3 linked regions of the Oryctolagus cuniculus genome follow. The protein of the gene in region 3 interacts with the protein of the main gene of each other region in a biochemical or structural test. Links are inferred from orthologs where the notes say so. Each region holds a gene or a part of one and is shown on either strand. Other genes may lie near its edges. The genes, in order: DEDD, BCAP31 and CASP8.

Region 1 (2,376 bases), on a different chromosome or scaffold from region 3:
CGAAGTTTGAAAAGCAAAAAAGAGTAGCAAAGTTGGAAACCACCTGACAGTCTCTCTTACACTGGACTAGTTCTTTTTTTAATTTATCTATTTGAAAGGGAGAGTGACAAAGAGTGAAGGAGAGAGGAGATCTTCCATCCACTGGTTCATTCTCCAAATGCCGGCAACAGCTGAACTGGACCAGGCTGGCGCCAGGAACTACAGCTGGTAGTCATCTACTACTTCTCAGGCACATTATAGCAGGAAGCTGGATCAGAAGCAGAGCAGCTGGGACTCAAAATGTGCTCCAAGATGAAGCAGGTGTCCCAAGCAGCAGCTTAAACCACTGTGCCACCCCAGGACTAATTTTTTCCAGAGGACTCTGTGCCTCTGAAATTGTTGCCTGATTGCAGGAGGTTCCCTGCAGTGGAATATGCTCAAGTCAGCATTATTCCTATCACAAGCAGCACCTTGCTCATAGGAGATAATTTTCCTAATTAACAGGCATAGAAGTTAATTTTAAATCTCTATCTAGACTTGGTTTGCCTTACAATAAGGATGGCATAATGGCACCCTTTTGATCAAATGTTCAACTAAAAAGAGTTTAAATGTATCCTTCCCTAAGATAAAGAGTTCTTCCATGAGAGAATTAACCATTCAACTTCACTTTGCTATAGTAGTCAAAGTGAGGTTTGCACTGAATATTATAAATTGCCCAGTATCCAAGCACTTCTTTATATTTCCCCACAAGTCTTATTCCATCTCTGGAACCTTTAAAATTTTCTTACCACACGTCTGCTTTTCCTTGGGATCTGGTGTCACTGACTTCCGACGTTTCCGCTGGCTCCCAAGTGTGGCTCTCCCTCGAGCTGGCCGCTTGCTACACATCTGAGGACCGGAAGTGGGGCAGCACACCACAGGATAGTGGGGAGGCACTGGCCAGAAGGTAAAAGGGAAGAAAACACAGTCGGGCAAACGCAGAAATCCAAAACACTTCTCTTGGATTGAGGAAGGAGACATTTAGACTTATCACTAAAAACAGTGTCAACAACGTGACCTGAGAGGAGGATACAAAGTTAGAGCCAACACAGAGCCTACGTGAAGTATTAACTCTTCACCTCGTGATTCACGGGACGGGTGGAGGATAGCATCCCTCCATTAGGCCGGCAAAACCAGCAATGTGACGGTAGAGTCCTCCTATTTGATTAGGGAAGTTTGAGGGAGTTTCTATCTTCTCACCTGTTTTAGGGGGCTGGGGAGGCCTCGGTTCTGGGTCACTGAGGGCTCTGGGGGTCACGTAGCGAATTGATGTCTCTTCCAGATACTTGTCTACAAGATCAGGGCACACTGTAGAGGAAGGAGGAGTCATTCAGAAAAGAGACACCCTTCTCTTCTCCCAGTCCAAACCTCACTCTTGTGAGTGAGGACCGAATCGGAAGACAACAGCCAGGACTAGAACCAGCGCCCATATGGGACGCCAGTGCTTCAGGCCAGGGCGTTAACCCGCTGTGCCACAGCGCCGGCCCCGTGAGTGAGGATCTTGTAACTTCACTCTTCCAGGCGCTTGCCAGGCTCAACGCCTCTTCCCCTTTGGATTACTACGCTGCTCACTCCTGGCCTCCCACACCGCTTCCCTGATTCCAGTGGTCCCAGCCCCCGGGGCACCCTCACCAGCCCGTCTCCTCTTGAGGGTGACGTAGGGCAGCAGGTCATGGCGAGTGATGATGCGCAGCAGCTGCAGCACCTGACGAAAGTTACTCTCATCACAGCGGCCCTGGCGTTCCAGTGCCAATAAGAAATCACGTCCATTTCGGATGAGTCCACGCTCGTGGTCATCAATGACATCCACGAAGAGGAAGGAAAGCACACGCACGTCTCTGTGTGTCAGGTGGGTACCCACGATGTCAAACATGCGGTGCAGGCTATACAGCCCGTGCTCCTGCTCACCATGCTCTTCTGGCCACACCTGGCTTGCTCTCCGCTTTAGGCCCGCCATGCTGGGGGCTCAGGTACGCAATGCTTTCCAGAATCCCTGCGCAGCAGCTGTAATCCCCACTGAACTGTAAGGACAAGGAAACAATCTATGAGCCACATGACAGAAATGAGTCTCACCCATTCCTGTATTCCCAGTGCCTAGCACAATGCCTGACACAGTACAGTAACGCTACACATGTCTTTTCATTATTATTATCATTATTGTTATTTGGAGAGGCAGAGAGAGCATCCCCATTTGCTAGTTCAATCCTCAAATGTTTGCAACAGCTGGGACTGGACCAAGCCAAAGCCAGGGCTAGGAACTCAGTCAAGGTCTCTCATATGGGTGGCAGGAACCCAGGTCTCCCACATGGATGCAGGTGCCCAAGCACCTGGGCCATCTTCTGCTGCTTTCCAAGGCTC
Region 2 (3,655 bases), on a different chromosome or scaffold from region 3:
AGATGTGCAGCGATTCCTGAGGAATATTTTTGCCCAAAACCAAATCTGCATGCAGTTCAGAGGACCCTCGGAAGTGCAACCTGGGAAGCTGTATGGTACAGGCAACCTGGTTTTTGCATAAAGTAAATTGGAAAAGAAAGAGGGAGAAAGGAAGGGGGATTTAAAGAATAAGAGAGACTTACGGCACTTAACTAATGTCCAAAATAGGACCTCGTTGGGTCTTTTAAAAGAATATTTCTTTTTTTTAAAGGTTTATTTATTTATTTGAAAGGCAGAGTTATAGCGAGAGGGAGAGGGAGGGAGGGAGAGAGAGAGAGAGAGAGAAAGAAACCTTCCGCCTGCTGGTTTACTCCTCACATGGCTGCAACAGCCAGGGCTGAGCCAGGCCAAAGCTAGGAGCTTCATCCAGGTCTCCCGTGTGGGTGCAGGGGCACTTAGGCCATTTTCTACTGCTTCCCAAGGAACATTAGCAGGGAGCTGGATTAGAAGTGGAGCAGCTGGGACTTGAACTGGGTGTCCATATGGGTTGCTAGCAGCAGCTTAACCCGCTGTGTCACAACGCCAGTCCTACAAGACACACATTTTGAGTACTACAAAGGAGAGTACAAATGAAAAGTGGGTTTTCCTCTCTAGAGACCACTAATGTCTAGGCATTCCTATCTGTATACATGCAGCTTTTTTTAAGCACTTTTAAATAGCTACCATACATTGGAGAATTCCAGGTGTCTGAAGCTGACACCATGCCGCGCTCGGGCCATGAGAAGAGTGCAAAGCTGACTCTCTGTGCTGGTCAGGGCCCTGCCCCCCAGGATCATGTGCTTTCCCTTCACAGATGGCAGAAGATTTTCAAGTCTCGCCTGGTGGAGTTGGTCGTGACCTACGGCAACACCTTCTTTGTGGTTCTCATCAGCATTCTCGTGCTCCTGGTCATTGGTGAGTGGGCTGTGTGTGGCCTCTGCTGTTCTGTGCTCTGCCAAGTGGGGCTTCTCGCAGACAGATCAGTGAGGCGCCCCCGTCTTTCTTTTGGGCAAGATGGTGCTGCTGCCAGGCATTTGTGGAGAGAGGTTCCTCCAGCAGGGGTGTGACTATACCAGGCAGTCGTTATCTGCATCCTTATGACAACTGCCTCACATTTCCGAGGTTGCTCCTCAGGTCATTCTAGAAGCAAAGCTAAGACAAGCTAACTGGCTCATGTCTCTGGTCTAAGCAGTACTGCTTTCCAGTCATTTAACCAGCAGCATTCTCCCTCAGTGTCTGAAACAGGTCTTCAAATAAGGGGCTGAGCACCCAAGTAGACAGGGAGCCTTGTGGAAGGAAGTCCTGCCGTGTCTGCTAATGGAAAAGGGCACTGAGCTGACTAGCAGTGTAGCTTGGGGACAAATCCCAGACCTCTCTGGATCTGGGCTGGACTTCAGGTCTTTGCAAGTGCTTCCAGCTCTGCGGTCCTATAAACCTTGGCATTGAGACACACACCTGCAGGGGCTTGAAAGACAAATGGACCAGAGGGCATGCTTGGGTGGGGCTGGAGCCGGTGGTGCTAAGATGTAAGGTGGACATTTCAGGGCAAGGTAGTGGCAGAGTTGTTTGGAGGCAGGAGGAGTCCATAAAACTTGTCTGCCTGTTAGTTGTGCACTGTTTTGCTGTGCTGAGTGATCACTGTGTCCACCTACTCAGACTCCGCAGTGTCAGCTCTGTTGGGACAGGGGTCCTGTCTCATGGTGGTGGTGCTGCTTAGGCTTGGCGTACTCCTCTCCCCCGTCCCGTGTCCTTCGCAGAAATGCAGCGGGGACTGCGGGGGTCAGGGGAGTGTGCAAAGACTGCCTCCCACTCCAGGCCTCCAGCTGCAGCATCAGGCATTTCTCCTTCCTGATGTCTTGAGGCCTGACAGGATATGTTCAGGAAGAACTGCCTCTGAACAGGCCAGGTGCGGCTTGCAGTTCCAGCCACGTAGGATAGTGCCTCGCTGTTCCTGCAATACTTGGCAAGACCCCAAGAGGCCGTTCTTCCCAGTCAGGACTCTTCCCTGAGCAGCTCTGAGCCAGGAGCTCGGGGGGGAGTTGCGTGTTGTCTCTGGGGCTGAGCGCCACGAAAAGCCAGGCTACAGAATTTTTGAACTGTGCCTGTATATTTTTGCTCTTAGGTTCTGATTGGAGGCAAGGACTAGGGAAATGAGGGATTAAGCCAGAGATTATTACCTCAGTGCCTTAGCCTTCCAGTACTGTAACCATCTCTGTTTCCTACCGCAGCTCAATGAGCCAGAGATCCTTTGTAGCTTTGAGTACTTGATAAACCTGTATTCTTTTTTAGGATCAAGGTCCTGCTCAGAAGTTCTAGAGAGACATATGGCTGGAACAGCTGGCTGCTTCCTACCCTGATGTTAAAAAGCAGAATCCAGAGAGAGTCCTCTACAAATAGAAATGGTAGTGAATAGCAAGAGCTAGTTAGTGAAAAGTAGTGGGTGCAACCAGCTGGAGCTACAGCCTGGCCCACCCTTTATGTTCCCTGGGAGAGCCCCAGGACCCATGTACCCAGGAGAAGGCGGTGGATGGGTCTAGGGCGCACCTCCTGGGTATGATGAGGCAGAGCCAGTGCCTCCCAGCCCAGTCTTCTCTTGGCTGTTGACCAAGGTGGGCCTTATGACGATGAGATTCCTCGATGCAGGGGGCAGTGTAAGAAAACAGGACTTTTAATCTTGTTTTCTGATTAGAAAGTAATGCTTAATTGTTTTTGAAAGTTTAGAAATTGAACTTAGACAGTTAAAGTCCCCCATCATCCCATGTCTTACAGGCAGCCATCCCAAATACTTTCTCATGCATTTCCACCGGTGTTCTCTGCTTACATCTCTGTTACCATGTTTACAGTAGTGGGATCATGCACACACGTTTTAGATTGTGCTTTTTTCCCTCTGGTTATAAATTAGACATCGTTGTACAGCAATCTCATTCTTCTTAAAGAGTACATAGTATTCTCATATAGTTGTACCACAATTTAATGCCCTCTTTGTAGATACTCTCACAACATTGCACATTTGTACAAAGGCTTCTGTGGGATAACATCAGAGAGAAGGAGTCACTGAACCTGAGGGTATGAACATCTTGCATTTTATTTTATTTATTTATTTTTTTAATTTTTTGACAGGCAGAGTGGACAGTGAGAGAGAGAGACAGAGAGAAAGGTCTTCCTTTGCCGTTGGTTCACCCTCCAATGGCCGCCGCGGCTGGCGCGCTGCGGCCGGCGCACTGCGCTGATCCGATGGCAGGAGCCAGGAGCCAGGTGCTTTTCCTGGTCTCCCATGGGGTGCAGGGCCCAAGCACCTGGGCCATCCTCCACTGCACTCCCTGGCCACAGCAGAGGGCTGGCCTGGAAGAGGGGCAACCGGGACAGAATCCGGTGCCCCGACCGGGACTAGAACCCAGTGTGCCGGCGCCGCTAGGCGGAGGATTAGCCTAGTGAGCCGCGGCGCCGGCCCGAACATCTTGCATTTTATAACAGGTGTCTTATGTCAGTTAGTGTTCCTGCTTAGAGTATGTGAGGGTGCTTGCTTCATGCTACAGATTTGACAGTAAAGGAAGGTGGATTTTTATGATGCAAGATCAGCTTGAAAACCAAGCCGCCAGGAGAGGTGTTTAGCCTAGCAGTTAAGATGCCAGTATCC
Region 3 (3,655 bases):
CAGTTGGCTCCATAGTGTTTCTGCCTAAAGACAGAGAACTGGACTGTAGAGCTGCATCATGTTTTCCAGCCCCATGATACCCTGATTGTCCTTTTGAAGTGTTGGTTTTAAGAAAACCCCTCAATGAGTACCCCCGTATCTCCATCCGTGGTAAAGATGCTAACACTTGCCTTTTCTCCCACGGCTAGACATTTGCAGATGAATGGGAGTCACCTCCCTTGGCTATTTCTCTGATCTGTTAATATTACCTCAACCACAAAGCACGTTCTAGCGGACTCTAAATATGGATCTCTAATCGCAGAGATGGGGGATGAGGCAGGTGGTAGAACTTTGAGGAGGCTTAGGTAGGCAAAACTTACTGAGGACATCTTTCTCTTAGGCTCTGGCAAAGTGACTGGATGTACCAGGTCCCCTCAAAGAGGTTTCGATAGGAGACACAGTTGTTCACAGTGGCCATCCCCAGCAGGAAGTCAGCCTCATCGGGGACGTATCTCTTTGGAAACGATGAGTCCATTTCTAAATAGGTTTCTTGCTGCTCTGAGTCTATCGCAACAGGAACGGCTTGCTGGTACTTATCCCCTTGACAAGCTTGAATGAAAAAGACTTTGGGTTTTCCAGCAAGAGAGGGGCATTTCGAACCAGTGAAATAAGAGGTCAGATCATAGATGCAGGCCTCCTGCCCATCAGTGCCATAGATGATGCCCTTGTCTCCATGGGAGAGGATGCAGCAGACGAAGCAGTCTCTGTCTTTGTGGTCCATGCTTTGGTAGCTTTGCAGAATGTCACAGATCTGCTTTGCCGTGCAGTCATTGTAATGGACTACTTCAAAGTGAAGGTCAGTGAAGGTATTGCTCAAAGCCTCTGAAAAGTCAAGTCAGAGAAGTTACACTGTAGCACAGTCATTCCCACACTACAGCCCACAGCTGGAGAGAACAGTGAGTTCGATGTTAATGATAATTTGAATCAGAACTGAAAGAACAAGACCTCCTATCTCAGTAGCTGGATTCTATAGGCAGCTGAAAACATTTCCAAGCCTTGAAGCAAATGGTAAAGGGGAGAGTGCTATTGTTGGTCCGTTGTCTTTTCTGAACTACTTTATGAGATGAGTGAACTATTATTAAGGCTTACTACCAAGCCAAATTAAAGTGTGGCTGTGTTATAAGGTCAGAAAAACGAAGTAATTTTTAAGACTTATTTATTTTAAAAGCAGAATTACAGAGAAGGAGAGAGACAGAAAGGAGGGAGAGAGGGGGAGAGGGAGGGAGACAGAGAATATTTCCTCCCCTGGTTCACTCCCCAAATGACCTCAATGGCCAGGACTGGGCCAGGCCAAAGCCAGGCACCTGGAACTCTGGATCTCCCACATGGGGCCCCAGCACTACAGCCCATCCTCTGCTGCTTCCCAGGTGCATTGGCAATGAGCTGGATCACAAGAAGAGCAGCTGGGATGCAAACCAATGCTCATATGAGCTGCTGGTATTACAGGGCGCAGCTTGACCCACTGGGCCACAGTGCCATCCCTAAAAGCAGTCATTTTCAGCAAAATATTAATATTTATTTTATGCTTAACCAGCTACAAAATGTTTGTATTTATCAAAATAAAATACACAGATTTTAAAATAGAACTGAGATCTAATATATATATATATATATATATATATATACACACACACACACACACAGTGATCTTCTCACTAACCCTCTCTGTTCCCCCACCATGTTTCATGAAGGCCAACACTTTCAGCTTTTAACTACTTTTTTGCTGTTGGATTCCATTTTATAATGAATTTGGATGCTATTTACTCAAGTACAAATTTCGGATTTCTGTATTGAGCTCTTATATTAATGATAAGCAGGTTGAATCTACAGTAATATTTATATTACTAAGATTACACAAACATAATGGTCTTTAATTATACAAATATTTCCTTTCTCATTCAACTTTTTATCTTTAATGCATTAGTAATCACATTATTTTTCCTCTTGCTTTGTTTTCTATATGCTTAATATTATTTATTTTCTACAAATGCTCTGATAGATCTGGTCTAAGTGTTTCAAAATCTTCAGGCTGCTTATTTGACCCATTTTTTTTTCTTCCTGGGAAGCTTCTACCCTTTGGCACTACATTCTTCTGCTCCAGTCCCAACTAGCTGCTCCCTAGGAATGATGAGTTTCTCTTTTCCTGGGGCATCTCTATAGTTTTTCCATAGTAATTTCCTGAAACTATGACTTTTTATCTCTTAGCTTACTAGCTTGTTTAACTTGAATAGATCTGATAGTACATGAGAAGTAAAATTTTTGAGCCTTTCATTTCTACTTTCATATGTTTTGATAGTTTAGCTGGATATAGAATTCTATTTCCAAAAGCATTTTTCCTCAGAATTTTGAAGACATTTCTTCAATCTTTAGTTTTCAGTGATGCTATTGAGAAACCCATGGACATTCAATTCCTGATATTTTATGTATTTGTCTTGACTTTTTTTCACTAGAAGCTTCTATAATGTGATATGCTTTGATGTAACTCTTTTGCAACTTCAGGCCCTTTCAGTCTTGAGACTGACTCATGGACAATTCAATGTCTCCTCATTTTCTCTGTCCTCTCTTTTTGGAACTATCATTGTCAGAGGTTGAAAATTCTTAACTGATTTTCAAATTTTCGTATCCCTTTGCTCTTATTTGCATTCTTTCTTGTCTTTTTGTCTGCCATCTGAGACTGGAATCTTCCACACTATTGAATTTTTCATTTCTGTGCTCATATTTCCATACTTTTCAAGGATTGTTTCTTGTTCTGTTGATGTTTCATAACATCTGGTTCCTTTATGAGTCTGTTACTAGATTTCTGCAAACACTAAATATAGATTTTCCAAAGGTTTATTCTTATCAATATTATCTTTGTTTCTTTCACATTCTAGTTCATTATTTTCTGATTTGTATTGTGTCTCTGTTTGGTATTAGATTATTTCTTCACGTGTTTGATGATCCTTGACTGTCACTTCATAAGTTGACTAATCAATGTATTTGTTTTTATTTTTTAAAGATTTATTTATTTGAAAGGCAGAGTTACAGAGAGATAGGGAGAAAGGAAAAAGAGGGAGGGAGAGAGAGAGAGATAAAGAGAGAGAGAGAGAGAGAGAGAGAGAGGTCTTCCATCCTCTGCTGGTTCACTCCCCAAATGGCTGCACTGGCCTGAGCTGGGCCAGGCTAAAGCCGAGAGACAAGAGCTTCTTCCATGTCTGCCATGTCGGGTGGCAGGGTCCCAAACACTTGGGCCATTTCTGCTGCTTTCCAAGGCATATTATCAGGGAACTGGATTGGAAGTGGAACAGTGAACCAGAGCCTGTATGGAAAGCCAGCATCACAGGCAGTGGCTTAAGCTGCTAAACTACCACACCAGCTCCAACTAATCAATTTAAAAGTTGACTGTGTTCATGAGTGGGTTTGTTCACTGGTGGACTTCATAACATACTGATTGGCTGGGGGCCTGATTGTTTCATTAGGGGACCCCTAGATATCACTACCTGTGAGTCTTTTATCTGGGGCTCTCAGTTTTTCCAGAGGAGAATCCATATCTGCTTCCATGGTTCTTGGAACTAAATTGGGTTAGACAGTTGACTCCATGCTACCAGGAGGTTGAATTTTCCTTACTCTCTTGTCC

The links.
Region 1: the proteins of CASP8 (region 3) and DEDD form a complex in vitro, tested with the Homo sapiens proteins (2 studies listed by BioGRID). The link is inferred for Oryctolagus cuniculus from reciprocal best matches to the Homo sapiens genes CASP8 and DEDD.
Region 2: of the proteins of CASP8 (region 3) and BCAP31, one has a biochemical effect on the other in vitro, tested with the Homo sapiens proteins (2 studies listed by BioGRID, with this or other methods). The link is inferred for Oryctolagus cuniculus from reciprocal best matches to the Homo sapiens genes CASP8 and BCAP31.

The regions. Positions count from the first base shown.
Region 1 is NC_091438.1:37,680,544-37,682,919, reverse strand, and holds part of DEDD (death effector domain-containing protein), read right to left. Parts: intron 2,061-2,376; exon of another isoform or gene 2,040-2,060; 5' UTR 1,976-2,039; coding exon 1,651-1,975; intron 1,327-1,650; coding exon 1,219-1,326; intron 915-1,218; coding exon 768-914; intron 1-767. UniProt on the Homo sapiens protein: A scaffold protein that directs CASP3 to certain substrates and facilitates their ordered degradation during apoptosis. May also play a role in mediating CASP3 cleavage of KRT18. Regulates degradation of intermediate filaments during apoptosis.
Region 2 is NC_091453.1:132,081,459-132,085,113, reverse strand, and holds part of BCAP31 (B-cell receptor-associated protein 31), read left to right. Parts: intron 1-832; coding exon 833-933; intron 934-3,655. UniProt on the Homo sapiens protein: Functions as a chaperone protein. Is one of the most abundant endoplasmic reticulum (ER) proteins.
Region 3 is NC_091434.1:38,673,014-38,676,668, forward strand, and holds part of CASP8 (caspase-8), read right to left. Parts: intron 862-3,655; coding exon 360-861; intron 1-359. UniProt on the Homo sapiens protein: Thiol protease that plays a key role in programmed cell death by acting as a molecular switch for apoptosis, necroptosis and pyroptosis, and is required to prevent tissue damage during embryonic development and adulthood.